2 linked regions of the Cricetulus griseus genome follow. The protein of the gene in region 2 purifies or fractionates together with the protein of the main gene of each other region. This does not show direct contact. Links are inferred from orthologs where the notes say so. Each region holds a gene or a part of one and is shown on either strand. Other genes may lie near its edges. The genes, in order: Sp1 and Klf6.

Region 1 (15,632 bases), on a different chromosome or scaffold from region 2:
GGTCTACAGAGCGAGTTCCAGGACAGCCAGGGCAACACAGAAAACCTGTCATGAGAGATACTGAAGACTATAGTGTTCCTCATGCTCATTCATTTTGTCTGTTTACATTTAACATAAAAGATAACTTTTAAAATGCTTGCTTAAGGTTTCTTGTTGATGTTTATTCTTTCCGTGCTGAATACCCAAGCAAAGGCATAAATCTAGAACCAAGATAAACTCATACTTTTGTGTCCCATGTTTTTCATTCTTTGCTCCTGGTGGGTGGTAGTAGTGAGGGAAGGGACCACCCTGTTAACTGAGGTTAGTTTCCAAAATGAAATGATACATAGATTCCTAGAGTTATTTTTTGTTAGTTTGGCTTGTTCTGTTTTTAAATAAACCACAGACTTTTTTTCTTTTTTAACCAACACCTTTGTCTTTTTATCAGTAGCCTTTTCTCTCATTTTATATTCTTAATTTGCAAATCTCTCCCCTCTCAGCCTCTGTCAAACACTGAAAACTTGCTTTGGATGTGCATAGGGGCAGCTTTAAAAAATTGAGTTTGGTTGAATGTTTAGGAGTTCTAACAGAGAGAGAACATAGGGCTGGGCTTTGGCATGAGAATAAACAGATTTATCTTGATGTCTATAATTCACTCATGAAGAAAATTTCAGGCACTAAAAATAAAAATTCTACATCTTCTAAGTTTTATTAGGGTCAGGAAAATGTTTTGTCCTAATAGTTAAGTTGAATGTGATACTGGGATTGGTTTTCCAGCAGTCTGACTAAAGTTGGGGTCAGATTGCCGACCTAATTTGTTTAAAAAATTTGTGTTTTCGACTAGTGACTGTGAACATTAGAAATCATTGTAAAAATGTTTTCTTTTTTCAGAGATGGAGTCTTAATTTGTAGTTTAGATTGGCTTGAGACATACTATGTAGTACAGGCTGGCTTCAAACTTGTGGCAGTCCTCCTGCTTCAGCCAATGAATGTTGTTGGGATTACAGATAGGAGCATGCACAATCAGCCAGAATTAGCGTTTTGTACCAAAAAATCATATGAGAAGCATTTCTATATGTATTATCAGCCAGGTAGTGGTGGTGCACACCTTTAATCCCAGCACTCGGGAGGCAGAGGCGGGTGGATCTCTGTGGGTTCGAGACCAGCCTGGTCTACAAGAGCTAGTTCCAGCACAGCCCCCAAAGCCACAGAGAAACTGTCTCAGGAACAAAAAAAAAAGTCTGTTCTTTCTGTTCTCTCCTCTCTTCTATTTCCAGGGTGTTATGTAACACAGGTTGCCCTCTAGCTGTGTAGTGGAGGCTAAACTTCAACTCCTGATCCTACAGCCTCTACTTCTCAAGTTGCCATGATTAGGGGTTTAACCTCAACACCCAATGAAAACTGTTTCTGTGTAAATGTTTTTTAAAAATGATTTATTTATTTTTATCTTATATGCACGAGTGTTTTATATGTCTGAGGGTGTCTGATCCCCTGGAATGGAGTTATAGATAGTTGTGAACAGCTGTGTGGATGCTGGGAATTGAACCCAGATCCTCTGAGTTGCCAGTGCCCTTAGCCATGGAGCTGTTAGCTGTCTCTCAGAACCCCTTGTAGAAAGCTTTTTTTTTTTTTTCTTAAAGATTTTATTTATTTATTTTGTGTACAACATTCTGCTTCCATGTCTATCTGCACACCAGAAGAGGGCACCAGATCTCATTACAGATGGTTGTGCGCCACCATGTGGTTGCTGGAAATTACACTCAGGACCTCTGGAAGAGTAACCAGTGCTTTTAACCTCTGAGCCATCTCTCCAGCCCCCTTACATGTGCTTCCATGTTTTTTAGGCTGTGAGTTGTTTATAGAAACTGGGCAGTATTACCTGTTATACAAGTTCGGATTTGCCTAATTTTTGTTTGCCTGCCTTAGCTGAATTAGTTTGAAGTTTTTTTTTTTTTTTTTTCAACAGGAAATACCTAGGTTATAACAAGGATTTGCTTTTTTTTTTTAAGATTTTATTTATTTATTTATTTATTTGGTTTTACGAGGCAGGGTTTCTCTGTGTAGCTTTGGAGGCTGTCCTGGAACTAGCTCTTGTAGACTAGGCTGGCCTCAAACTCACAGAGATCCACCTGCCTCTGTCTCCCGAGTGCTGGGATTAAATGCATGTGCCACCACCGCCCAGCATAAGATTTATTTTTATTATTTTATGTTTATGAGTGTTTTGCCTGCATGTATGCTTGTGTGTCACATATGTGCTGGGTGCAGGAGGTTGTGAACCTCCATTTGGATTCTGGTCTTTTGAAGCAAGTGCCCTTAACTGCTGACCCAACTCTCCTGCCCCCAAAGATTTGTTTTTTAGGAGATGAGGGAACTTTTCACTAAGCAGTGGTGGCATACATCTTTAATCCCAACACTCAGGAGGCAGAGGCAGAGGCAGGTGGATCTCTGTGAGTTTGAGGCCAGCCTGGTCTCCAGAGCAAGTTCCAGACAGCCAAAAACAAAACAAAACAAAAACAAAAACACCACGAGAGAGAGAGAGAGAGAGAGAGAGAGAGAGAGAGAGAGTGTGTGTGTGTGTGTGTGTGTTTTGAGGGTGGGGGAGGGAATTTAAGTTCCGACCTTTCTTCCTTTAGCCTTCTCCTTTCCCTACATTTTATTTATTTATTTTCAAGGCAGGTTTCCCAGACATACTTGGGACTTGTGTTTGTCTTGTCAGCTAGTCTGTTAACCTGAAAACTTCCTCTGTCTTCTTGTTTCTGTCCAACTAAGACCTAGGGTTACAAGCGTGCACAGGACAGTGATTGTTATGTGGGTTCTGGTACCTGAATCTAGTCCACATGATTGAGCTGGGAGCATTCTTTAACTGTAGAGCTTTACTTGAGCACACCCACATTCTCTGTTGGTGTGTAGAAATATGCAGAAACCAGAGGTTAACATTACGTAACTTCCTCAGCTACTTTAAAATATGTCTTATTCAGTAAGATTTATTGTTTTATGTGTATGTCTTACCTGTGTGTATGTGTGTACACCACATTTGTGCCTGAATGCCTGAAGAGGTCAGAAGAGGATATCAATGAAAGCAGAGTATTACAAGCGCCAATGAGATATTGTTCAGGGATACTGTGCTCATGTTCTCTAAGAATGTACCTAGAGAAGAAATTATAGAGGGTATGGAATGGATAAATGACAGTTTTTTTTGTTCAGTTTGGAAGTTTAGTTCATAAGTGTTTTAAGTTTTTGTTTTTTTGTTTTATTTATTGTTTTGTTTTTTTGGTTTTTCAAGACAGGGTTTCTCTCTGTAGCTTTGGAGCCTATCCTGGTACTCGCTTTGGAGACCAGGCTGGCCTCGAACTCACAGAAATCCACCTGCCTCTGCCTCCTGAGTGCTGGGATTAAAGGCGTGCGCCACCAATGCCTGGCTTGTGAACTATTTCTACTTGTATTTATGTGCTGCTATTGTGCTAGAGAATGAATTGATGCTGAAAGTACACAATAGCCAGGAATGGTGGCTTCTGCCTATGAATCCTAGCAGTTGGGAAATTGAGACAGGTTTTTCAAACGCTTTGTTTTATTTTACTCTCTGAGTAGCTGAGGCTGTCATTGAATTCAGTATGTGACAGTGACCTCAGACTGACCATATTCTTGTCACTTCACTTTCTGAGTGCTGGAATTACGGGTATTCGGCATCATGACCTTCCTTTCTAACCTGTACTCTTTGATTCATGATGATGACAAAACTCAAGCTTTAGCTGGGAACATTATCAAAACTTACAGTTAGGGAACATTACCAAAACCGAAATTAATATTTAGATTTAATGGAGAGACTTCCAAAATATCTATGTTCCTAAAATTTGTTCAGACCCCCTCTTTTCTCCTTTTTGTCTTTAACTATGTAGGAGGGTGGTATAACGTTTAGTCACAGTGACATCTAGTGGTGAAAGCCATTAACATTTTTTACTTAACCATATGGAAAACTACCCATTTTTAAATCTACCAAAAAAAAAATTTAAAGAAAAAAAGAAATGGTAGCCTGGTGGTGGTGGTGGCGCATGCCTTTAATCCCAGCACTCGGGAGGCAGAGGCAGGCGGATCTCTGTGAGTTCGAGACCAGCCTGGTCTACAAGCGCTAGTTCCAGGACAGCCTCCAAAGCCACAGGGAAACCCTGTCTTGAAAAACCAAAAAAAAAAAAAAAAGGAATGGTAATATACCAAAGAGAGAATTATACAGTCTAAACTTTTGGTTCCATAGATATTTTCACTGATAAAAAAAAATTACGGAAAATATAAAAGGGAGGGGAAAAATAATGCTTCCCATCACAATTTGTAGCATGAATTCTCTTTGCCCTTAATAATAAAAACTTGGAGTCAAGCTATCAGGGAGTGAAAGCTGAAGGATCAGAGAAGCAGAGCAACTAGCCACTAGAGTTCTTATCTCAGTGCTCAGATCAAGGGGAGATCCTGTCCTCTCTCTGCCTAGCCATATCCCTTCCTATCTTTGCCTCCTTAGTGCTGGGATTAAAGGCATGTAACTCCCAAGTACTGGGAATAAAGGTGTAAGCCACCACTACTTGGCTGTTTCTCTTTTGGACTGGATCAATTTCGTATAGCCCAGGGTGGCCTTGAACTCACAGATCCACCTGCCTCGTCTCTTCCCCAGTGCTGGGATTAAAGGTGTGGACACCACTTCCTGGCCTCTGTGGCTAACTCGTATGACTAGCTCTTCACTCTGATCTTCAGGAAAGTTTTGTTAGATCATTTAAAAAAGTATATCACCCCAACAGTCACCAATTAAACTATTGTTTGTGTGTGAATGCATGACAGGATAACCCTTTATAGCCCAGACTGGCTTTGGTTTTACTATCCTCCTGCATATCTGCCTGCTAGTGCTGAAATTACAGCCATATTCCATTCTTCTCAGCATGAATATTCAAAGACTTTTTTGTTTTTTTTTTTTTTGTTGTTTTGTTTTTTGTTTTGTTTTTTTTTGTTTTTTTTTTTGGTGTGTGGGGGTGGTGGTTTGAGGCAGGGTTTCTCTGAGGCTTAGGAGGAACTAGCTCTTGTAGACCAGGCTGGTCTCAAACTCACAGAGATATGTCTACCTAGTACTGGAGTAAAGATGTGTCTGTGTTTTGGGGGGCGGGGGTGCCGTTCAAAAATTTTCTTGTGTAATTGAATAATTGGATTTTTTTTTCTTTTTTTTTTTTTTTTTTTTTTTTTTTTTTTTGAGACAGGACTTCTCTGTGTAGTCCTGGCTGTCTTGGAGCTCACTTTGTAGACTAGGCTGGTCTACAAACAACTCGGAGACCTCTGCCTCTGCCTCTGCCTCTGAAATGCTGAGATTAAAGGCATGGGCCACCACACATGGCCAGAGAACTAGTTGGTATTTATTTATTTAGGTTTTTTGAGGCAGGATTTCTCTGTGTAGCTTTGGAGCCTGTCCTGGAACTCCCTCTGTAGACCAGGCTGGCCTGAATTCACAGTGATCAGATTCTCCTCTCTCTGCATCCTAAGTGCTGGGATTAAAGGGGTGTGCCACCACCACCCAGTCCCAGAGAACCAGTTTTAAGTATTTATGTAAAATACATTTAAGTTTGTATATCATAACCAGTCATTGGTGTGCACAGACCAGCCTGGTCTACAAGAGCTAGTTCCAGGACAGCCTCCAAAGCCACAGAGAGGGCTGGAGAGATGGCTCAGAGATTAAGAGCACTGACTGCTCTACCAGAGGTCCTGAGTTCAATCCCAGAAACAATATGGTGGCTCACAACCATCTGTTATGAGATCTGGTGCCCTCTTCTGGTGTGCAGGTATACAAGGAAGCAGAATGTTGTATATGTAATAAATAAATAAATAAAATTTAAAAAATAAATGATTCAGGAAACATTAAAAAAAAAAAGCCACAGAGAAACCCTGTCTCAAAAAAAGGTTTGTGTATCAAGTGTATGCCTGCTGCCCATAGAGATCAAATCCCCTGGAACTGGAGTTACAGGCAATTGTGAGCAGTCAACATCTTTCCAGCTCCCATGCCTAGGTTTTTTTCTCCCTATGATGCCCAGTGTTTTTTTCTTTGTTTTTCTCAGAGATCTATGCTTGCTCTGTCATATATTCTCAGCCCTCCTCACATTTTTGGGGGGGAAAGGAAGGGAGAGGAGGTTTTCATTAAGTTGCCCATGTTATCTTCTGATCTCTCTGGCACCCCAAATACATGCAGTACACTCATACACATAAATGAATTAAAAATACTCTCATCAGATTGCTTGTAGACAAGTATGTAGGCCATTTTCTTGACAGGAGGACCCAGCACACTGGGGGATGGGTCTCTCCTGGATAGGTGGTCCTAGATAGTCTACCAGAATAAGCAAGCCTTGGAGATTAAGCCAATCCTGTCTCTCGGTTCTTGTATCAAGTTCCTGGCCTGATTTCCCTCATTATGGAGTATGATCTAAGAGTTGTAAGATAAGATAAACCCAGTTCCAGGACACCCTACAAAGCTATAGAGAAACCTTGTCTCGAAAATCTCAAAGAAAGGGCTGGAGAGATGGCTCAGAGGTTGAGAGCGCCAACTGCTCTTCCAGAGGTCCTGAGTTCAATTCCCAGCAACCACATGGTAGTTCTCAACCATTGGTTATGAGATCTGGTGTCCTCTTCTGGTGTGCAGATACACATGGAAGCAGAATGTTGTATACATAATAAATAAAATCTTTAAAAAAACAAAAGAATAAAAGAAACCCCCCCCCCAAAAAAATGAAATAAATCCTTTGCTTCCCAAGTTGTTTTTTTTGTCATGGTACTTATCACAGCAAGATGACAGATAAGAAACCAGAATCCCAAGTAGAATTTTTGGAAATATATGGAAACTAGCCTTCAGACTGGTAGAATGCTTGCCTACTATGTGGAGGCCCTTGGCTCAGTTCCTAGAATGGTGATTTGTTTTACAGTTACTGACATTTTAATTTCATCATGCTTTAGTAATTCCCAAGGTTTTAACTTTTAGGTCATGGCTTTACCTACACTTCTTTACTTTGAAGAAAATAAAAAGATATAACATTTATAGTTGTTTCAGAAATGGATGCTAGAGGTAACAGCTCAGTTTGCCCAAGACTGTCATTAAACTGCCTCTGGTTTCCTAGTTATTTTCATCACAGGAAGGCCAATCTTTAATTTATCTCATTGCTTAACTAGTACCATATTTTAAGATTAAACTGTTCTTTTCTAAAACTGTTATTAAAAGGGATGGGGAACAAATTCCAATATGTTGATGTCATGTTGACTTTTTTATTTGACATGGGTCTTACTCTTTAGCCAAGGTTAGTCTGGACCTACTATGTAAACTTAAACCTGTAATCACTTGGGAGTCCCTCAGGTACTTACTTGGGAGGTTGATTCAGAAGCCTAGGAGTTCAAGGACAACCTGGGCAAAGCAAGACCTTATGTCAGATTATAAAAAGAGATCTTGATGCAGTGGTGCCATATTGGCTAGTGAGATGGCTCAGCAGATAAAGGCATTCGCATCAAGGCTGATTGATAGCCTGAGATTGATTATTAGAACCCATGTGGTGGAAGAGAACTGATTTCTAAATGATGACCTCTGGCTTGGACAAGCATACTACACACACCACTCATGGAAGAAAGAACTGTAATTAAAAGTTGGTACTGTGAATGTAATATCAGTGATGTTTCTATAGCTGTTCTATCCTGTCCACTGCCACCTTTCTCCTTTTCTTTTTATTTCAGGTGATCATGGAGCTCAACTTGGCCTCCATGGATCTGGTGGTGATGGGATGCATGATGAGACAGCAGGTGGAGAAGAAGGAGAGAACAGCCCTGATCCCCAACCCCAAGCTGGTAGGAGGACTCGGCGGGAAGCATGTACATGCCCCTATTGTAAAGACAGTGAAGGAAGGTGAGTTCATTCTCTTGAATATGGAGTTTGTTTTGTTTTTGAATGTAAATAAATTAAAAATGGACTTAGAAATAAGAGGGAAAGGGCATATATATATATATATAATATTATAATATATACATATATACATATATACATATATACATACATACATACATACATATATATATATTCAAGACACAGGGAACTGGGCCTGGTGGCGCATGCTTTTAGTTCTAGCAGCACTTGGGAGGCAGAGGCAGGCCTGGTCTACAAAGTGAGTTCTGGGACAGCCAGAGCTTTACACAGACAAACCCTGTCTTTAAGAAAAAAAGCAGGTGTGTGTGTGTGTGGTTGTGGGTGTGGGTGGGTGTGGGTGGGTGTGGCGGGTAGTAGCTCCGCCGTTAAAGAGTAGGCTCACAACCAAAAAAAAAAGGAACGAAGAAACCCAAAACAACCCCCCCAACAAAAAAAACAAACAAACATTGGAGGGCTGGGTGTGTAGCTCAGTTGGTAAAGGGCTTACCTAGCATTTATGGAGTCCTGAGTTTGAATCACAGCACTTAATAAAGCAGTGTGGTCACACATGCCTGTAATTGCATGTTGTCTGGAGATGCAACACATACATGTATCTACTTAACCCCAGAGTGTATTGTATAGAGAGTGTATAAAGTGAGGGTTTTGACACCAGGTGCATTAAGTGCAGACATGACCTCTCCAAGGTATGGTTGAGGGGAAGGTTTTTATTGTAGACATGAGGAGAGTACAGTCAAAGTCCAGAGCGGAGAGAGAAAGTAGTAGACTAAACATGGCCAATAGATTGGACCCAGCCATGAGAGAGAAGCGGGGAAGAGAGTGGGAAAGGAAGATAAAATGTGAGAGGCAAGAGAGTGCATATTGGAAATGACAGGGTTATATGGGAGCGAGAAGCTTGGGAGGAAAGTGATCTGGAGAAGTATAGGGGTAGTGGTGGGGTAAGAAGAGCCAGGATGGACTCTGTAACAGGTATTTGCTATGCTGAGAGAACCTGGAGGCTAGCATGTGCTTTGATGTGCTAATGGGCATCACAGTTAGCCATTTGGACCTAAAAAGGATCCCATGACAGACCAAAGTATGGTAGCATCAAAGCCCAACTTGGTGAACCAGTGAGTTTTATTGGGATTAGTTAAAGGAATATGGGGTGAGGGGCTACTTACAGAAAAGGAGTAGAAGGCTGAGCATTGGTGGTGCATACCTTTAATCCTAGTACTCGGGAGGCAGAGGCAGGTGGATCTCTGTGAGTTTAAGACCAGCCTGGTCTATAAGAGCTAGTTCCAGGACAGCCTCCAAAGCAGTACAGAGAAACCCTGTCTCAAACCTCCCACCCCCACAAAAAAAAGAAAGAAAGAAAAGAAAAGGAGCAGAAGTGACTCAAAGACGTCTGAATCACCAAAGCCTACTCCAGCATAGATGAGTTTACAAAAGCTGAAGAACTGGAGCATGCAGGCAGCCAGTATCCCTTCTGTCCAGATCAGTTGGTCTAAGCCCCTTCAAGGCAGCTCTCTGGGCTCTTGAGAGTCTTCTCCTTGCAACTTGGCTTGTCTGAGAGTAACTCATGGCTGGCTGGCTTTATCTTTTACTCTTGGAAGGGACCTAGTGAATCTGATCAGTTTCAGGGGCTTCCTGAAACTGTTTTGAGTTGTTCATCCTCTGTTTTATGGGAGATAGTGTGTTTTAACCCCAGAGTATATTGCTACACAACATCCTTGCACTTGGGAGGTGAAATCAGAAATATATTTTATATTTGGTTCTCTGGCTAGGTGTAGTGGTGCATGCCTTTAATTTTAGCACTCAAAGGCAGAGAGGCTGGCGAATCTCTTGAATTTGAGCCCAGCCTGGCCTCCAGAGGTTTTTGAGACAAGGTCTCACCATTCAGCCTCATAGAGATCTCTTACTTCTGCCTCACAAGTGTTGGGATTAAAGACATGCTGCCACACTCAACAGTCCTTATTTTATTTTTGGGGGTGGGGTGGGGTACAATGTTTGACTCTTGTGGAACTCACTGTTCAGACCAAGCTGGCCTCACATTCACAGAGATACTCCTGCCTCTGCCTCACCAGTGTTTGGACTAAATATGTGAGGCACCACATCCAGCTCCTTATTTTATTGTACATGGAATCAGGTTCTTGCTACAATATCCTTGCTTGGCCTTGAATTTTTGGTTCTTGTGCCTCATTCTCCCAAGTAGCTGAGATTACAAGGATGAACCTCTATTCCTTCTTTCACCCTTAAGATTTAGGCCTGGAGTAATGGCTCAGGTTTGTTTTGTTTGTTTGGTTTTTCGAGACAAGATTTGTCTATGTAGTTTTGGCTATCCTGGAACTTGCTCTTGCACATGAAAATAAATAAAAAGAGAACAAGGGCTAGTAAAATGCAGCTTTGTGGTACAGCACTTGCATTTCAAAAAAGTATGCAAGAAAGTCAATGAAGCCAGGTTTGTTAGTGATTCACATCTGCTACTTTAGCACTTGGAAGGTATGGACAGTAAATTGCAAGTTTGAGAATAAGTCTAGTCCAAAAGCCACTTCAAGACCAACATGAACTGAATAAAATAGGCTGTCTCAAAAAAAAAAAAAAAAAAAATCTCATGGAACAAGGCATAATGGTACGTAGCTGTAATCCTCATCACCCAAGAGGCAGAGGCAGAGGCAGAGGCAGAAGGATAACCCTAAGTTTGAGGCCAACCTGGTCTACAAGTTCCAGGGCAACGGTTATACAATGAGGCATTGTCTCAATAATAGGTAAGTAAATAAATAAACTCACAAGCTGGAGATGAACTCAGTGGTAGAACACTTGCCCAGCATTCAGAGTCAATAAGAAATCAAAACTAAAAACAAGAGCTGCATAATATGACCTACTCAAATGTACTATATTAGCCTTTTGCAGCATCTGACCCCACCTCCCAAGTGCTGGGTTGCAATGGCTGAGTATTTAAGGGCAGTTGTTGTTCTTGCAGAGAACTAAAGTGGCAACTCACAACCATCTGTAACTCCAGTTCCACAGGATCTGGCACCCTCTTCTGGCCTCTTTGGCCACAAATATTCATGCAGGCAAAACATCAAATAAATAAATCTTAGAAAAAGATTTCAGGCTGGTCAGGAATAGTGGCACATGTCTTTAATTCAAGAGTTGGGTGGATCTTCATGAGTTCCAATCCTGCCTTGTCTACATAGTGAGTTCTAGTTTAGCTAGAGTTTATACAGTGGAACCCTAGCTCAAAAACAAAACAAATACATGTATATATAGATTTAGGACTATAATTGATCTCTCTTTGGCCTAGAGAAGTCAGATGGAGCTAGATAGCTTAATGATTAATACCAAGTATCTGTTGTTTCAGTAAGATTTCTTATAGCTGGGAGGTCGCAGTGCACACCTTTAATTCCAGTGGTGGGGATAGGGGTGGGGGACAACACTGAGGCAAGTGGGTCTCTGTGAGTTGAGTCCAGCCTAGTTTACAGATAGAGTTGCAGGACAGCCAAGGCAATACAAAAAACCCGTCTTGAAAAGAAAAAAGAAAAAGATTGTTTGCAAAACAGCAATAAATAGAAACCTGCTTCTTGTAATGAGTCCCCCCCCACCCCACCCCCGTAGCTTTAGGAAAATTACATGTTTTAACAGTTCTGTTATCACTCAAAAAGACAAATATATTTATTCCAGGTGCTTTTTTTTTCCTTGAGTCACGCTTTCTCTGTGTAGCCCTGACTATCTTGTGGACCAGGCTGGTCTTGAACTCAAGAGATCTGCCTGCCTCTGCCTCCCAAGTCCTGGGATTAAAGGTGCTCCATCACTGCCCATCTCTTAATCAAGATGTATATTTTTCCACCAAGATTTTTCTTTCACTGAATTTTCTAGAGATTTGCTCATTTTGTGTATATGAATGTTTCTTGAATATATGTATGTATGCCACGTGCATGCAGATACAACCTGTGGAGCCCAGGAGAGGGCATCTGATTCCCTGAAAAGATTCATTTGCTTAGTTGGGAAGCTGTGTATCATGGTATACATATAAAAAGTTGGAGGATCACTTGAGGGAAGTGTTCTGGGGATTGAATTTAATGTCATACTTGGTGGCAAGAACCTTTACCTGCTAAGCTGTCTTGTTTCCTCCTGAATATTTTTTTCTTACTAGCCTGTAACAGTTCTCTTAAGTCTTACTCTTTTCTTTGTAGTCACTGTATTTTCTATGTAGCCGTGGCTGTCCTGGAACTCACTTTGTAGACCAGGCTGGCCTCGAACTCACAGAGATCCACCTGCCAGTGCCTTCCAGGTGTTGGTATTAAAGGTTGATGCCACCACTGTCCAGCTTAAAAAAGTACTGTTTTGGTTTTTTCGAGACAGGGTTTCTTTGTGGCTTTGGAGGCTGTCCTGGAACTGGCTTTTGTAGACCAGACTGGTCTCGAACTCACAGAGATCCACCTGCTTCTGCCTCCCAAGTGCTGGGATTAAATGCATGTGCCACCACTGCCAGGCTAAAAAATACTTTTAAAAAATGTAAATCTTAGTGACAAGTATGGTGGCACACACTTTTAATCCCATCGCTAAGCAAGCAGAGGCAGGTGGATTTCTGAGTTCAAGGCCAGCCTGGTCAATTTATGGAGTTCCAGTACAGCCAGAGCTATATATAGAGAGATCTGTATCCAAAACAAAAGAATGGGTTAGGTAATTGCTGCTGACACTTCTTGATTCCTTAATTTCTGTCTCCATAAATTAATTATTAATTATTAATTATGTTCTCATTCTTAGAGGCTCTGGAGACCCTGGTAAAAAGAAACAGCACATTTGTCACATTCAAGGATGTGGCAAAGTATATGGCAAGACCTCACATCTCCGGGCACACTTGCGCTGGCATACAGGGGAGAGGCCATTCATGTGTAACTGGTCATACTGCGGGAAGCGCTTCACACGTTCAGATGAGCTTCAGAGACATAAACGCACACATACAGGTATGACCTAAGGGAAGAGAAAAAGAGTAGTAGACAAAGAGAAGACATGATATGCCTATGAAATAACTGAAAATCCTGAACAATTTATACGTGAAACAGTGTGTCTCAAAGAGCACTTGGATTAATCTGGAAGGTTTTAAGAAGGAGCTCCATTTTAAATGGGACTTTTTAAAAAGGTTTTTTCATTTATTATATATACAGTGAGGGCACCAAATCTCATTCAGATGGTTGTGATTGCTGGGATTGAACTCAAGACCTCTGGAAGAGCAGTCTATGCTCTTAACCTCTGAGCCATCTTTCTAGCCCCCCCCCCTTAAGTGGGATTTGAAGGATAAATATCAACCCAATCTTTATTTTGACTACTTTTGAACTAAGTTATCTTTTGCTTTTTTTTATTTAGGTGAGAAGAAATTTGCGTGCCCTGAGTGCCCCAAGCGTTTCATGAGGAGTGATCACCTGTCAAAGCATATCAAGACCCATCAGAACAAAAAGGGAGGCCCAGGTGTCGCCCTGAGTGTGGGCACTTTGCCCCTGGACAGTGGGGCAGGTTCAGAAGGCAGTGGCACTGCCACTCCTTCAGCCCTTATTGCCACCAATATGGTAGCCATGGAAGCCATCTGTCCAGAGGGTATTGCCCGTCTTGCCAACAGTGGCATCAACGTCATGCAGGTGACAGAGCTACAGTCCATTAATATCAGTGGCAATGGTTTCTGAGATTAGATACCTAGAGCCAGAGACATATGGGCCAATACCCACCAAGCCTGGGATGCAAGATAGCATGGGTCCAAGAGACATGTGGAAGAGAGAGCCATGAGGCATTAATGTGCTTGGTGGTGGGAAGAATTGGGGGAGGGTACAAGAGAAGAGATGGGATTGTGGCACCAATCTGTCACTGGTGACTTCTTGAAAATGGAAAATATTAGTGAAATTTCTGTTGGTGCCACCCTTTGATAAGCATTTATTTCATCCCAGGTTCTTCTTACACTTCTTACCCCAGCCTCCCCTTCCTGCGTTTCCCCTCTGAGCTCTCCCATGATGGATCCCCACTCCCCACCCCCAAAGCCATCATGCCTTGATAAATATATATGATCATTGAAATACTTTTTAACAAAAACAGATTCTATATTATATATATATATATAAAAAATATATAGAGATGCTTTCACAGGGGTTGGCTGGGAGGAGGAAAAAAGACCATTTTGTGACCAAAAAATACCTTGGTCATTTTTTTTTTTTTTTTAATATTGCCTTATTTCTCAATGGCTGAGCCTTATCATGACACATCAAGCTTTTCTATAAATGTTGTCCTGGCATCCCACCAGAGTAAGCAAATGCTGTGCTTTTAGTTCATATATACATACATAATGTGTCTTCTTCCTTAATTTTTGTCATTTTATTTGGGATCAGCTCCTTGCGCTCCTTTCCTGACTCAGTCTTTTTTTTTTCTCCCCTTCTCTCACATGATCACTTCCTGTGTTGTTTTTGACAATGATCTCTGAATTAGGCCCTTCACTCATTATTTTAAAGAGCTTAGTTCCAACTGCAGAATGGACAGCCTTGAAGTGCAGCCTGATGCTTGAAGTAGCTATGGGGAGTGTTATTACTACTGACGCAGGCACCTTCTCAGTGCTGGAGAGTCAAAACCATTTCCCTTTGTTAGCTGCTCTAAACATCCGGAGTCAGAAGTCTCTATGTGGAATTGTTTAAAAGGCCCTTGGAGAGAGATAATCTGGGATCAGTGTGTATAAACTGTCAAAAAATGGTCAAATAGTAGGCAGCAGCTTTTAGTAGGAAAAAGATGTTCTCAGAAAAGAAAATAACTCAGTCTCAGTTATTGGAATTATTTGGATTTCAGTATCATTGTCTTCCAAATAGCCCTAAGCCTTAATGTAGGGGCTTCTGAGTTCACACACTGAAAGGAAGTACACTTCCTCTTTTGAACATTTCTGTAGTTCTTGTTAATGTTTGAATGTTAAGGAACATTAGCCAGCGAATCTGTTCTGACTTTTCATGCTGTAGAATGCAAAACTTGTGCCAGTGACAAAAGAATAGTTCTTTAAAAATTTTCCCCCTTAACTCTTCCTTATATGTACGTGGGTGTTTGTAAGGGAAAGGGAAGCACACAATCATGGGAACGATGGCCCAGAACAAAAAGAAATCTTGTCTTACCACTGTGGATTATAGGAGAGATCGGGAGAAATTATCCTGCTTTTTCCATGGCCTGATTCCAGAAGTGACTGATCCAAAAATTATATCGGCAGGGAAACTCAGTGCATTTGACACCGAGACTTAAATGCAACCAGAATTGTCCTCAAGGCCCAGCCATTAAAGCATTGTCTCTCTTGACCTTCTGGTATCTTGTCAGAGAGCCTTTCACTGTGAGGAAGTGTGGAAGTGGTTGTGTGTATGTGTGTAATCTATTAGGTTGGGGATAGGTTTTCTGTTAGCCAATATTTAAAGAGACCTGCAATAAAAAATTACCCTGATCTGATAGAGAAAGTAAATTGTGTATGACTGTGTGTATGAATGGGTGTTTGTGCCTGTATATATCTACGTGCAGATGAGAACTTATATTTGAAATTGTTGGAAAGTAAATTCAGATTAAAATGCCTTTCAGGCCTGTTACCTAGGAATTGGTTATAAAACTTGGGTATGTTCTTGAGGTCAGTTCTCTGCTTATGCTAAATCAGTTACAATTATGAATGGGGTGGGGGATCTCCTAGTGCACTTTCTAAAGAAGAAACTATTTTTGTGTTTGAAAATGAAATCAACATCCAAATCTATAGCAG
Region 2 (16,154 bases):
TCCTAACAGCCTTATTTGAACATAACTTAGCTGTTGAGCAAACTGTGCATGACAACATGGTCCAGCCTTAATAGTAGCCGAGAGAGAATGCATTATGGAGACTTTATTTAGACTGTACAGTCAAAGTACTCCAACTGTTAGTCACCCTGACATGTGCTTCAAAACGCCACACACCCATGAATTCTGGCAAAAATGTCCCCAGCTCTTTATGCCCCACCCCATCACAAATTCCTTCCAACTTGCTGATATTTTTACAATTACAGCAGGGGTTGGCCGGGGGGGGGGGGGGTGCGAGATCCCAAAGCTCCTAATCTGGGTACACATTTAAATTTCTCCTCTTCCACCATTAATTAAATTAAAGGCAATTCCCACTCCACATTTAGCAAAGTGAAGACCTATTGTGAAGTAAAAGATTATACCACAACTAAAATGGAGGTCACTCTTTCTTCTGAACTAAAGACAATGCAATGATTCTGACCCCACAGAAATAAACTGATTTTACTGTCACTACTGACTGGCTTATAGAATCTGAAAATGGATTCCAAGATGCATCTCTCACACTGCATAGTAAAGCTGGGGCCAACATCTCAAGCTACCAAAGGCATTTGTCTGAGACAATATAAGCGGCCTATTTTATCTTAAAATCGCTCTATACATAATGCATTTTGCAGGCCTTTTTCATAAGTCATAAAATCACAGGAGCAGAAGGCTATCTTGACTTTCTGCCCTACTTAGGGAACTAACCAGGGAACTCTGGGAGGAGGAAAAAGTGATTTCAGTGAGTCCATGGGGATGGTTTTCTGGCCTGACTTCCCTTTGTAATCTGCTGATCACTGCTACCCTCCCTGGATAGGAGTCATCCAGGTGTGAGCCCAGCTCCATCCAGAAAGACTAGCCTAGCTCTAACCGATAAGCGAACAAATTTTGCTGGGTTTCTGAAATGAAAGGGAGCCAGCAGTTAGTCACGGTAGAGGCCTCTGTACTTAATAGCCTGCCTGGCTTGAGTGACAGGAAGGAAAAAAAAATGCAACAAGTTTCTTCCTATTGTGCCCCCAAAAGCCTGGGGCTGTTTTTGTCAGGATTTGGAACACATTCAGTACATTTGAGGGGTGGGGGAAGCAGTGTCAAAAGCCTCCCTCTAGCTTCAGGGACAGCTGTGGTAAAGTGGGAAGACAAGGAAGGCAGGGACTGAGCTAGGCAAATGGCCCTTCGAATTGCACAATGGTGATTTCCTGGGGAGGAAGCCAGGCTGAGTAACACAGCAGGAATTTGTTAACAACCCCCTTCCCCCACAGCACCCCAGAAAAACAACCAGACTCCAAATGCTGATAAGAATTCTTTTTATGTTATTCGAATAAAAAATACATTCATACAGAAATATAACAATCTCGCAAAAAACAATTTCAAATAAAATCTTGTAAAACAAAATTTTACAAAAATCTTACAAAGATTCTTTAGATAACAGGGTGCTTCAAAAAAAAAAAAGAAATAAAGAAATTTCACTAATAGAAATTTTTTTTTAATTTCAAGCAAAAGTTCTGCTTGATTGAGGCTCAGTTATCACCTGAACAGAATGTACTTGCTCATTATGAAAATTACAGGCATTGACATATACGCACCCAGCCCCACCCAGTCAGACAACATCCATGATGTTTCATAAGTGAGACGAGCCAGCACAAGTTTTCTTTCTCTTCTGTTTACCTTCTTACTTAATGGAATTGTTATGGATAAGCACAGCAGGGCCAAAAAAGGAGTTTTCCAAAATCCAGCATATCAAGTGCTTGGATTCTGAACTGCCAAACAAAAGTGCATTTTCCCCTTAAGCAAAATGAAACCAGTTCTGTAGAGAAATGTATTCATCAGCCCAGATACAAAAACAAAAAAACAAAAAACAAAAAACAATTACGTGAGCTTTAATCATTGCTCATTTCCAGGAAGATCAAACAAAATACCAGCCCAGCCAGACTCATTCTCATATATATATATTATATATATATATATATATATATATATGAGATCCACACCCAAAAAGTCAGCAGCTGGATGAAATATCAGAAACATCAGCTGTCTATGCTGCGGTATGCCAATTCCGGGAAAGTACTCCTTGAAAAAGCTGGGAGAATCTACATGCTGGAAAAAAATAGTTTCATCTGCATAAAAAGTATTCTAAAAAACAATCCCTGTGATCAGCTTACTCTTAGGTGAGATATTCCAGTAAGGCTGAAAGTAAAATGCAAACCTTTGTGTGTGTGTGAGTCCAGCTGGTTGAGCAGCACTTTGTTCCTGCCCCTTGTGAATGGCCAAAGGTACCCTATTCCAGGCTTGCCAATAATGACTAGCAAAATCAACAGGGTGGAATAGAATCAACACCGAAAATGTCTTCAGCAAATCATTAAATAAAAGATAAAGCCTTTATAAAAGTTAGGTTATAGTTTTCAAATTTTTTTAACCTCCTTTATGGCCATTTTGAAATACTTCTTCACAGGCTGTAGAATTTTCTAGCTAAACATTCTAGTTTCTTCTTAAAAAAATATTTATATATTATCTATATATAATATATATATACACACATACATACACATACTATACACACAAATATACATACACAAGAAATTTCATCCACTTTTTTTCAAAAAAAAAAAAGCAGTATACTTTCAGTATTACCAACAGATAGCTAGACAGGTACTCAAAACTTGTGCCTTTTGAGCAAAATATTGACATTTTTTTTATACTTCTGTATTTTTAATATGTGTGAAAATGTTACATAATAAATACAGCCGGTGTGTGTGATCTGTACAATTGTGCAAGGTCTCTAAAAGAGTCTCATGGTAGCAGAATTAGTTTTCAATTATCATGTCTATTTTTTTTCCCATTTTAACACTGACAGTCAAGTTGTTGGAAATGAACACATGTTGACATGTCAAAGGAGTTTTCACCTATTTGTCATTGTGGAGGATCTTAAAGAGGTGGTTTTTTCTGTTGTTTTTTTGTTTTTTTTTTTTCTTTTTTCCATATTATACATCATACAGTACAATGCCAGGTGAAAAAAGAGCCTTAATTAAGCATGCATCACCCATACCCCTGTATTTGACCCCACAGAAGGGCCAGTTGCATAAGGCACCATTATGAAGGTCAACAGTGCATTAACAGCTAGAAAACCAGAATTAGTCCTCAAGGCATAAATAAGAGAGACATAGCTGCATGAGAAAACGGTTTCTAAGCTTAGTGGTTTGATCCACCCGACTGAGAAAAAACAGTTTATGTTCTTAGCCTAATGTGGCATTAGACCAGTAATTTCCAGGCCCAAGCATTTAGACATTTGACACGCGTCCAATTTCTTCAAAGGGCACCTTAAGATTCTCCAAAAAGTAAGTTCAAATTCTGAGTCATTAAAAATACACCCTACACTGCACAATAGCATGTTGCACGGGGAGTGTCACAAAACAGACGGATCTGGGGGTCGTGTCTTGCCAGGCCTAAATGGCTTAAGGAATCATTGTTTTAAACAAACTGAATCCTATAGCTGCTTATTAATTGGAATCAAGATTGGAGACCCGATTGAAAAATGGAAAAGTTTATAGCTCCCCCAGACCATGCACGACTTTTTTGTATTATAAGGGAAAATGACCACTGTTATTTGTAAATACAGCTTATACAATGGGTTACAAATGAGCTCTGTGTAGCCAGTAAAACAAGCTACTTGACACACTGCACATTCTATAGCTGCACCAGACACCAGAAGGCCCTTTCACACAGGAAAGGGGGACAGGTACTCCCCTTGCCCTTAACACTCACCACTATGGGGTCCTGAGTTCCCACTCCCACCCTCCAAGTATTTCCTTCTTTTTTTTTTTTTTTTTTTTTTTAAATTTTTTTTTTTTGTTTGTTTTTATTTTTTATTTTTTCTAAGGTGCAGACACCCTTCAGGAAATGATTGGTTGTCAACTCATCCCTTGGAATACTCCTCACACACAAAACATTCAAACTGCTTTTTTTTTCTGTCTCTTGCAGTTATTTGCTACCACAAGGGGGAAAAAAAAAAGTCTGCCTCACCATACAGTCGGTAATAGATCCTCAACATACAGTCATCCCACCCATTAACATTCTCAGTGCGCATGCTCACGGCAAAAGGCTCTGGGAGCCTCTCAGAAGGTTAGGAACCAGTGGCGAGGCGAGTCCAGGGTCACCCAAACACCATGCACCGTGGGTGCTATGCCGCTTCTGACATGACTTTTGTAGCCCTCAAAAGACCTTCCAAAGAGAGGCCCCTGGAGGTAACTGGGTAGGAAGCAAAATGGCATGCTTTGGCTGGTACAGGCATCCCTCCTTCCATGGCCGCCTCTCAGCCTGGAAGCCTCTTTTAGCCTACAGGATTCAGCCCTCTGCTCCTTCAAAGGTGCCTCTTCATGTGCAGGGCCAGGTGGTCAGACCTGGAGAAACACCTGCAAGGGCAAGGCAGAAACAAGGAAGTTAGGTTTTGCCGCCTGGATTTCTTGATAGACCAGATACCACACCTGTGTACAATTCCTCTGAGTCCTTGCCAATACTTTTAGGCACAGGGAACCCCAAGGGAGAGAAATACAAATTCCAAGAGGTCTTGGAGAAATAGCTAGGAAGTCCCAGAAGTCCCATGGCAGAGTCTAAACTGGACTCATCCCTCAGCTTTTGAATTTGAAAACTTGGAGCCCATTTTGAAAATCGTCCCCCAGACATTTTTCTTGTAGAAACCTGGCACACAGTTTCCTAAGAGACAGTCAATGTGTCATTGATTTTTGAAAAAGCCCCAGACTTAAAAGAAACGCCAACAAATAACAAGAAACTGTTGGCGTTCTTTCCAGGCTCTATTGCACACAACTACTCGGCTCTGGTAGTCTCCCATGATCCCACTTTTTTTTTTTTTCCTGCGAAGCCCTGACATACCTGTCACAGTGAGAGCATTTAAAAGGCTTGGCACCGGTATGCTTCCGGAAGTGTCTGGTTAATTCATCACTTCTTGCAAAACGCCACTCACAACCTTCCCATGAGCATCTGTAAGGCTTTTCTCCTGGGAAGAGAGCACATGACAAGGCACCATGATTCCACTGACATGATAGGGAGGAAGGAGAAGACTCAACAATATATACTGTGAGACCCCTGAAGCCTACAGACTTCACCATATGTTTTAACAGAGACAGTACCTTTGGCACGCTAAAGGTCACAAGCATAGGTTCTTTCCTAACCTAGCCTGAAGCTTCACTCAAGCTGTTGTCCCAAGGATCCAGGTTTGACAAAATCAGAGTTAACTCATAACAATGACAATTACTCAGATAGCTGACATATTTGCAGGGTGAGGTGTCGGCCCGCAGGACCCACAGCCGTGCTGAGAGTTGAGATTTATTGCTTTCTCCATGGAGACATCCCCCTCCAGCACAATCTGGTTCCTTACTCATTTCCCTGGGGAATGAGTCGTCCATCCGGGACCTTCTACATTGCTGCAAAAACTCAAGTCATGAGTTTCTGAGAAACCTCATCCAGAGACTTTCAGATCAGTTTCTAAATGGCAATCAAACAACCAAATGGACATCACCCCCTAGCTAAATTATAACTATGAATTAAATAAAATGCTACCTATGAGTAAAAATAATGCTAAAGCCAACCTGAGTCAAAACTGTCTTGTCCTGGGAACACTCACATCCTCTCCCAAGTTCTGTGCCTTTTCAGGACCCTGACTTCATCTCTCCAGAATTTGATTATCATCTCCATAAGGTAACAATTTATGACATGGAGCTTTCCTGCGATCCTTCCACTCATATCCTGTATGTTGTACTGGTAGTTTCAAACAAACAAGAACTTCATTCTAAGTGGTGGCATTGAGTTAAGAAAGCCCTTGTTTAAAGTGGTTGTGTGACACAGTATTCACAATAAATGTCCCCTGGTCAACACTAGCAAACTCCATGCTGCCCAAGGACCCTCTGTCCTGACCCTGGACTTACATGACATAGAATGAGGAGCAACCCAACATAGCACGATGCATGTACAATGGGGAAATGAGCACCGAGTGGGTGAAGGTTTGAGTGTCGATGGAGAATGTGATCTGGCCTCTTGTTTAATCTGAAAGCATGACCCATTCATCTGATTCAAATGTCCAGTCTTTTAAGATTCTACTCTGAACTCCAAAAAGACCCAATTCCTTGGTGACAGGAATTAAGGAAGTGAGGATTTCCTTGCTTGTGACCACATCCTGAGGAGCCCTGGCTCCCTCCCAGGGCTGGTGCAATTCACTGGCGCCCACCAGGGGCTGACCTCCCAGGCCCCATGAGGGGACTGACCTGTGTGAGTACGTTGATGTGCTTTCAAGTGGGAGCTTTTAGTGTAAACTTTCCTGCAGCCGTTGAAGTGGCATCGATGTACCCTCCTCCTGCCATCTGGGGAGGCATCGCCACTACCCTTGTCACCAGACTTCCCAGAAGTTCCACTTCGAACCTTCCCTGGTGAGGGTAGGTCTCCTGGCCCACAGCCCCATAGTTGAGAAGATTCCCTGTTCACTTCTGGAGAAGAAGGAGGTGTGGAAATGACGGAGGAGCTCAGATTTCCTGAACTGACTAAGACTTCACCAATGGGATCAGAGGTAAATTTGGTCGTGGGTGAAAGTTCCTCAGAACTGTCTGAAGACTCGCTGCTGACATCAGAGTTTAGGCTGTTGGTCTCTAAGTTATAATTAAAGCTGGGGCTGATCAGAGAGTCTTCTGGGGGACTAGAAGAAATCTTCAGTTCTGATTCCTCCTTCTTCTCTCGAGCTAGAATGATTTTGGTCCACAGATCTTCCTGGCTGTCAAATTTTATCTCAGAGGCTGACACGTAGCAGGGCTCACTCTGAAGATAGCGTTCCAACTCCAGGCAGGTCTGTGCAGAATGAACCACAAAAAGGCACGTGATTGTTACGACTACTGAAAGTGGAACTGAAAGCACATAGAAAAAAAAAAAGAAAGAAAGAAAACATGCAACAAAGAACAAATAAATTATTTCTGGGCCACGTACTATGGGCCAAAGTCTTCTGTAATGGGAATCTATTTCCTCATGAATGCTAGAGAAAAGCTGTTTCTAGGAATACGAAGGAAAAGCAGAGGTAAAGCCTCTCTTGGTTTCTTCAGTGTTGGACCAATGGCCACAATGAGTGATGATCACTGGGCCTGTTTTGTTGTTATAGTTACAAGTGTTGACATTGCTAATGAGGATCCTGGTAAACCACACAAAGAAAATCAGCCTTCCACACATCACACCCCCTCCCACCAACCTAACAGGTTTAACCAGATCGTTTGACATTCTCTAGAACCAGGAGCATCACTGAGAGCCCCAGCCATCCACAAGTATTCACACAACAGGACAGAAAGATTGCACAGCACACAGTATGGTCTGAAGACCCCCCCACCCCTTAGGGACACAGCTGACAATATAGGGCTGGCTGTAGTCAGAGAGCAGACAGCAGATCTGTCTGTATTCAGGGACATCAATAGATTGGAAGAGAACCCTCCCATGTCCTGTGTAACTAAGACCTAGGATATATATATATATATATACATATATATCTACGTATATTTTTAAATGTCATTTCCCAAGTACAGGGCTGTGGATACCACCAAACTTTAATGATTTCTTCACTGTGGTCAGAAGGAAACAAGAAACCTCAACAACACAAGTGGAGGAATTCTTCCAGAATGGCCATCTGCTATTGTAAAGGATGGAAAGGGGAAATTACTCCCTGGCCCTTCTGGGAGTCCCACAATGAACAAGGACTTTATCTCCTGGCCAAGAGTACAACAGTATGAGTCATCACTCCTATTTCTTTCACGCAATGCCAAAGGAGACTTCCTTTTGAAATTCTGACCAGCAGCCAAATAAGGACCCGGCTCAAATATACATGCAGTGTGCCATGGACAGGGTGCCCCTTCCCCAGCCCCGCAACCAACCTTTCAAGGAGCTACACAACTGCAGAGATCAGCATCCCCTCTCCCCACCATTTCAAACTTTCTAGCCACTGGAAAAGAAAAATGGTAGGAAACATTTTAGGATTAAATTATGTCGGCCCTGATTTTTCACTAGGCTTGCCTGCATGCCCATATAAGGATGTCTGTGCCGCTGACTATTCCATTCTACAGATAGAAATTTCGAAACCAAACTGCAACAAATTGTTATCAGGGTACAGACCATCTTGAGCACAGCCTACCAGCAAAAGGGCTAATGCTTACTAAACAATGCCTTCTATCACACTATACAGAGATCCTAATCCCTCCCTGTAGATGCTTCACACAGCAAGCAGGCACAAGTCAAAGGGGGGGGGGGTGGAGTGGGGGGTTCTTGTTTTCTCTTTCCCCCCAAAATTCGATGTCTGTTACAGTGCACACAGTATTCTGAATCGAGGTGGTGATACATATTATTGATGTTCCAAAGAAAAGGCGAGCACATTTATGAAGATCTTGTTAAACTTTAATCAACTGGCTAATTTAAAATCTCCATTATGCTGATGAGCAGTGGGGACCTGATCCCAGCTCTCTGGGAGTTTAAAAGGCTCTGAAGGGGACCAGGAGCCAAGTCTGGCTTGTTGCCCAAATCCCAAATGCCTAAAGGAAACTACTAAGATCAATTTCAATCACGTCCCAGGGAGCAGCTTCTTTGAGGAGGAAAAACCAGGAGGGGGAGAAGAAGGCAGGAGAGGATTGTGAACAATTAAGCCGGCATGTGGAGGTTTCAGCCAGCACTTCGCTTTTCATGCGTTTTAAAGGCAGGGAGGTTGTGAAACCCACAGAATATATTTCATCTGCTAATTCACTTGGAGGAAAAAAAAAAAAAAAAGCCAGCCCAGAAGGGTAGAGAGACATCCACCAAACCATCGTTTTAGAGACAATGGTAAAAAGTGTTCGAGACTGTCACGCCATTAAGGGAATCCTAAGACTTAGAATGGGGGGCGGGGGGGGGGGCTTTTATTTCCGTTGCCCCAAATTCTAGTTCCATTAAAATGCCGGAAATCGAGATCTTTTTCTTCCCCAAAGTAAGACCCGAAGCAATTAGGAATGGACTCATTGTCATATGACTGACAAGTCACTTGTGTGCAAACAGCCCCCCCCCCCACACACACCCGCCGCGCAGTCAACAAGAAAAGCAGGTAAGAAAAACAAGGCAGACATTGGCGAATGTAAGAATTTATCCAGAAGGAAAAGAAACTGCAAATGGCCTTGAGTTAAAAAAAAAAAAAGCTGCTGCGTTCCGCAGGCGAAATATTATACTTTAAAACACTGGGTGTACAAACATCAAAACAAAACAAAATCTTTAAATCAAATCTTTTGGCAGTAAAGGCAAGCTCGTTCATATGACAAAGTCCAGCTGTGGAGTTTGGAGCTGGTACAAGCCCCAAACTTGTGCCAACGGCTCCGGTCTGAATTCGGCAGAGAAATCTTGGGTTCCCTCCCCTCAGGTGGATGCCGCTTGGAAGCTCGGAATTAGCAAAAACAGAAAAATAAATAAAGAAATAAAGAAAAACGTTCCGGGAACAAGAGCTCGCCTCCACACAAATGACAACTCTAGTCCTAGCCGCCGAAGGCTCGCTTTACTGTGCCTTCATCATTTCAGGCAACAGAAGGGCATCTTAAGATCATTACTTTATTTTTTTAAATTAGGCAAACGCTAATCATTATTTAAAAGATGCACTTCCAAGCACACACCATCTTGCCTGCGCCTCCGCGAGACTCCCTTCTCGGCGCACCGGGCACGTGAAGAAAAAAAAAATCCGTATTTACCTGTTGCCAATATTCCTCCAGGGACGGCAGAGCCGAGAAGTAGCCCGTTTCGTGAACAATCTGTAGTTCCTGGAAGATGCTACACATTGGGAGCACATCCATGTCGGGTTGGAAAAGACAGTCCTCGCTGTCGGGAAAACAGGGAGGAGAGCGATCAGGAGTCGGAGCAGAAACTGTCCCCGGGAGCGCAGGTGAAAGTTTCATGCAAACTGGATGGCGCTGCAATCGGACGCCGGGTCCGGACCCTCCCGCAGCCCGCAGCGCGCCGAGCCCACGCAATATTTGCAAACAGCGGACTGACTGCAAGCGTAACCCCTGCAAAACTTCCCTATTCAAAGCTCCGCTGCCAGCCTCCCCCCTCCTCCCCCGCTTGGCTCCCCCCACTCCTCCTCCCCCACGTGACCAGCTTGGAGCTCCGCCCCCAGTGATACCCAATCCGGCCGCGCCTGTCCCGGGGGCAGCGCGACGATGATGTCAGCTTGCACCAATCGCCGGTGCGGACACAAGGCGGCCCCGCCTGGCGTGACCGAGCCTCTCCATTACGGGCCTCTCTATTGGTGCAATTCGAACTCGGCCTGAGTTGATTGGGAAGACGACTCGCAGGCTATTTTTAGCAGGGTATAAATGGCGAGGGCTACGAGGCGCCGAAGGAGTCGGCGCTGGGAGGTGCACGGCCGAACGCCGCAAATGTGCGGCCGGAGAATGTGCGGCCGGAGCTGGAGGAACCTGGCCGGGGCAATCCAGCACCTGTCCCCGCCGCCCAGCCGCCCGGTTCCACCTTCTGATCCCGTCACCCGGACCGGGACCCAGCAAAACAAGGGAGCTGATATCTGCCCGGTCCCCTTATTTCACTTCATCCGTCCCTCTGTGCTCGATGCCGGTGTCCCCTGATCCTTCCCTCACCCTCCATTCTGCTTGGTCCCCTGATTTCTCTCTTTGTCCGGAATCCTCTCCATACTCAGAGATACTGAGGTGGCCGGAGTGGGCGCAAACAGGCCCGCGGATCCCTGTGTAGTGATGGGACCGTAGGAACAAACAGCAGGGGAACTTGGTGCACTAGAGTCCCTGTATGGTAATTTCTGTCTGGATCCCTGGGAGGGGGCTGAAGGGATCCCGAGACTCGCTCGTTCTCCAAAATAACCCACACTTGGGAGCACCCAGAAAGAGCCTTACCTGACCCGTGGGTTAGTTACACTCAGATTCTCTGGAATGAATTTTATCTATTGGAAGTTGTAAGCGCAGCTTTTAAGATAGCACCCCAAACAACCCGATTGGGCTTTAGCAAGCTCACACGGATGACCTGGCACCACCCCAAGTTGGATTGCTAGGCATCTCCAGCTTAAAAATGCCCTTGCGCTTGATGCACGGCTCTCATTCTAATATGATACAGATTCTGCTGTATATGGGGTAGAAATCTGTTTATCTTGCGGAAGGCAGGCTCCAAGATGCCTCACCAGGTTAGCAGGCTTTCCCGAGGATGTGTAAACAATTTAAATTAAGCTGAAGCTGACATTAATTTCTGTTCATATAAATTGTCTCCTAAAGCACACCATGATGTTCATTTAAAAAATGAAGACTGAGCAACTATATTTTTGAGTAAAACAACAACAACAGCAAAAACCAATTATGACAACTTCAAAAGTAATACTTAATGAATAGTATCCTTTTAAACATAAACTATGTAAAATAATTTTAGAAGATTTTTCGTATTTAATTTTAGAAGTCTAAACAGATGCATGTACCAGAACTGTAAGCTTATAAGGTTCTTAGGTGGGCATACTTAATGAGTGCTAAGTTGGGAAAAGCTATCTTTCCAAAAAAAGAAGAAGAATGCGTATTGTTTGGAATACATGAAGGTGACCATTGGCCTTCATTCATCCCATTTACCCTAGTGACAAAGAGGCAAACCTGTCCCTCTCTGAGTTATGTGTTTATATTTTGTTTCCAGGAAGGGAATGGAAATGGCTTTAGGACACACATACATAGGGTGAACTAACTTCCCAGCGAAGCCCTTATATGGACCTAGAGCTTTATAATTAGTAGCAAGCTTATGCCTTTGGAATTAACAAAGGAAGCAAGAATCAGATCAAATCTATGAATGAAAGCCAACATGACAGTACACATGGTAAAGGATGAGGTGAAAGTATATGACACTAAGTGAAGGCCTTAATAAAGCATGGAGGAGTCTGTAATTCCTTAGGGGTGTCATAATGAAGATATTGAAACTTCCCTTGCTGGATAGAGAATTAGTCATCATTTTCACACAGTCCCTTACATTCCTATAGAATGCCAAAATTTCTCCTTGTCTCTTACAAGCACTGCCAGTTAAATAGAAGATTTGCATAGTTTATTTTTACAAGACTGGATTTAATTGGACATTAATAGAGATACAATCAAAACTGTGACTTTCAGAAAAAAATTAGTGTAAAAGTAGAGTACATTCATCCCCTGAATGAATTCCAAGTAGAATAAACTGTGTGACTTCCTGCTGCTCCCATTAGGCATTCAGCACATATTATTCACATCCTGTGACTGGCCAGGTACACATAGATTTACAAAGCAGGCAAAAGTCCATGTCATAGTTGGGGTAAGGGGCAGGGCTCCAAAGACGTTTGAATGCTTGTATTCCTGAGCATTTAACTATTGATGGGAAAACAGTTTTGGCTTCGTATGCAAGAAGGACTATCCATGTGATCCGAGTATTACAAATGATGTCTGATTTTTTTTGTGGGGGGCGGGGTTTCGAGAAAGGGTTTCTCTGTGGCTTTGGAGGCTGTCCTGGATCTAGCTCTTGTAGACCAGGCTGGTCTCGAACTCACAGAGATCTGCCTGCCTCTGCCTCCAGGGTGCTGGGATTAAAGGTGTGAGCCACCAACACCAGGGCCAATGATGTCTGATTTTTAAACTGCCTAACAGAAACACATAGGTCAGAGGCATTCAGATGGGGAAGTATGGATGGAAGAAAAGCATGACTTTAAACTATCCATAAATTTGGCCTTGGCCAGTATATCTGAAGAGAAAAAAAGTTCATCTGGTCTGATGAAAATATCCATAGAATCTCAGCTGTTTGAGAGACTGAGGCAAAAGAGCAAGGCTTGCCTGCTCTACAGAGTGAGTTCAAGGTTAGTCTGGGAAACTTGATGAGACTGTTTCAAAAGTCTTAAACAACTTTTGAAAACAGTAAGAAAGGGGCTGAGGATACACCAGTGGTAGAGTGCTTCTGGGAATCACAATGCCTACCATCCCCAAACCACTATACAAGCTGTGGCTGCCTATGTTTACTAGGGGGTCCCCAGTATCTGGTTTTGTGCTTCTTCTAGTGTATCTTTCTGTGCACATATTTCCAAATTCCTACATTCCTACTGTGGCTGGAGGCAGGGTGTAAGCAGGGAAGAGAGGAGGCTACTAGGGGCAGGAGGGTATGTCCTCAGATCTGACTTTAGGTCAACTCAGCATGAGGGCTCTGGGACTGGGGCCTTCTAAGCCTTCCTGTTCCTTCACCCAAATAACTGAGCTTTCTTGTATGTTCTAAAGGAATGATGGTGGTCATTGAACGTGAGTTTCTTCTTTTCTGATCAGGAAAGAAAACTGATGGCTGGATATAGGACTTGGGTTTAAGGGGGTGAAATCTTGACCTTCAACAGCCTTTGCTTCTTTTGAAAGAAGGTTCTGGGGATGTGACTGGATACCCTTGCAATCTACCAGCATGTTTACCCACCTCATGAACACTGGGAGTTGGTGGGGGACTGAGAGTCGGCATGTCAAAAATCATAATGTATTAAAACCCCCATTCTATATAAGCCATAAGTTGAAGGCAATATTAACTCATTGAACGTGCTCCATTTTCAACTTTGCTCTTGATATTTATGGCTGATGAGGCATTAAAATGATATCCACTGTGCAGATCACACAGCAGATAAGAAGCAAATTTGGGCCTGGGGCTATACAGTAACTCCAGTAAGAGCTCATTCTGTCAGGAGCTGAAGATCTCTACTCACCCCTACCCCCCATCTCTTACCCACCCCCCACCCCCCTATGCTGCCCAATCCTAATAAGTGGTGGACTCCTGGAGGATGATCCCTTTCTCACCCACCCTCATCTGGTTCTCTCTCCCACAAGCCAGTCTGTGTGGTGGCATAGTCCTAAATGCAGAGGGCTCAGCTTCCCTGGCACTCTGGGCTATTTCCTCACATGCCCACTGTGTCCATGCCCTTTTTCACTTTTGTTCTGTCTCTTATGCTTCCATGCAGAGCTCCTTCATTTCTCACCATGAAGTTCCCTTTGTTGCGTTTTGTAGCGAAACCAATGGTTTAAAATGAAGTTCATAAATAGACTGAGCTTTCAGTTCAGAGATCCGTAGATGGTAACTAGGTTTTGACTTTCTTGTTCACCTAGGAAATTCAAAGGGGGTCTTACAAGACTAGTCAAAGGTAATTGCAATACTACCCCCCTAATTATATGGGCAAAGACCATTCTCATGCATGGTTCAGAAGCCAGTTTTGTTTGTTTGGAGCATATTTAACAAGATATCCCCCTCTCCCACAGCAACTTGATTTGTGTTTGTTTCATTTGATTGTTTCCTTGAGTTGTTCTGTAAAAATCCCATCTTTAAAAGTACACGTGAGTTGTTGCATGATGGGTGTGTTGAGTTAAAATGTACCTCTTCATCTACTATCTCATTTCCAGATGGTTCTAGTCAAAAGCATGAGTTGCCTTCTCCCCATGCATTTCCCTCTCAAAAAATAATGAACTTTCCTTTGAAAATGAAAAACAAAACTTCACTTACTGAGTGATGTGTTAGGTAAAGTCTCACAAATATTCTATTTGTTGAAATTTAAACTTTCACTCTTTAAAATAACTGTCAGTACTGAGATAGCTAATGAAGGAAAGTGCCATACTAGTGGCTTCCAGTAAACATTCAACTTAATTTGTTACCATATGACAAGGACTGCAAGGGCTTGAGTATTGGCAGGGAAGTGTGTTTGTGTTTATGTCTAGTGTGTGTGTGTGTGTGTGTGTGTGTGTGTGTGTGTGTGCATATGCAAATGTATAGATGTGTATAGGTGTATATGTGTTATGTGATTATGTTTGTATATCTGTCTGCATGTGTGTCTGCATATAATTATCTGTGTGTAAGTATTTATATACATATAAATATAATATTTGTTTTAGTAGCCTTCTTTGTAAAACCAATAATGAGATGAAACATTAAAACAACTCACTTCACAAGTGACTGCGGTTGCCTTTTTTTACTGCAGGGTCCTGGGTGCCTGGGTTTGTTTGTGCTGTTTTTCCAGTGTATGTCTAGCTCCCATTTCTCAATTCCTGCATTCCTACTGTGCCTGGAGACAGGGTGGGAAGCAGAAAAGAGAGCAGCCTCCTAGGGGCAGAAGGGTATGCCTATAGATCTCGGTTAGGTCATCTCTGTGCATGTGGGCTTGGGGCTGGAGCGTCTTGACATTTCCCAGCTCTTCCCCCCTCAGACACTGAGTTTTCTTGTAGATGGCATGGTTGGAAGTGACTTTCTCCTCCCCTGGTCAGGCAGGAAACCTGCTTCCTGGTTTACGGAACTTGGATTCAAGGGGGATCCTGCCTTCTACCAGCACTGAAGAAGCACTTCTTTTGAGAGAAGATTCTGGAAATCTAGAGGAAGCCCTTTCAGTCTACCTTACCTACCCTTCCCCTCCTCGTAAACACCTGGTGGAGGCATGTGGAGAAAAGCTAGAATGTGAGGCTGGAATCCCATTTGTCCCTGCTAGCCCAAACACAGCCAGTAAGGAGTTCTCATAGTTTTCATTGTTTCTGTCTTTAGCAGATATCTCCTCTCTCTTTATCAAAGCCACCCTCTCTTGGTGTCTTAGCCTCTTCCAGATTCAAGTCATGTAAGGACTTTCTGACCAGCATGCTTGAGCAAGTTAAAGAAAAGTTATAGGCTACCTGACATGTTTTGGGACTTTTCTCAGTTGTTAAGAGTAGAGATCCAGAAGTCCAACAGGAGAGGAAAGTCCTCAAGTCATGATGACATGATGACTGAACTCCTTAAAATACATAGCAGGCTATAAAAAGAAAGAAAAAAAAAACAGTAAGCAAAGGGGGAGAGAGAAATGGGGAAAAAGATATACACCTTACCTCATACTGTAGACACATTGACGATACATACTGAATAAATGAAAATGATTACATCATCATCTTCCCAAAGGGGATGGCATGGCAAATGGACATAATTCTAAGGGCTTGGGCATTATGCTGGACTTTGCCCTGTCACATGGCAGAATGCACTCAGGCAGTACCCTGGGCAGCCCAGCTGCTACTACTCTACAGGCAGGTGCAAGGGACCTTTAAGAGAAAATCTGCACCCACTTCCTCTCTCTTTCCCACTGTTCC

Evidence for each region.
Region 1: the proteins of Klf6 (region 2) and Sp1 purify together in Homo sapiens (affinity purification with western blotting, with the first as the bait; 3 studies listed by BioGRID). This does not show direct contact. The link is inferred for Cricetulus griseus from reciprocal best matches to the Homo sapiens genes KLF6 and SP1.

What each region holds. Positions count from the first base shown.
Region 1 is NC_048595.1:398,792,583-398,808,214, forward strand, and holds part of Sp1 (transcription factor Sp1), read left to right. Parts: intron 1-7,713; coding exon 7,714-7,882; intron 7,883-12,643; coding exon 12,644-12,843; intron 12,844-13,243; coding exon 13,244-13,557; 3' UTR 13,558-15,632. UniProt on the Homo sapiens protein: Transcription factor that can activate or repress transcription in response to physiological and pathological stimuli.
Region 2 is NC_048596.1:230,513,646-230,529,799, reverse strand, and holds Klf6 (Krueppel-like factor 6), read right to left. Parts: upstream 10,098-16,154; 5' UTR 9,975-10,097; coding exon 9,771-9,974; intron 6,883-9,770; coding exon 6,309-6,882; intron 5,045-6,308; coding exon 4,921-5,044; intron 4,443-4,920; coding exon 4,391-4,442; 3' UTR 1,324-4,390; downstream 1-1,323.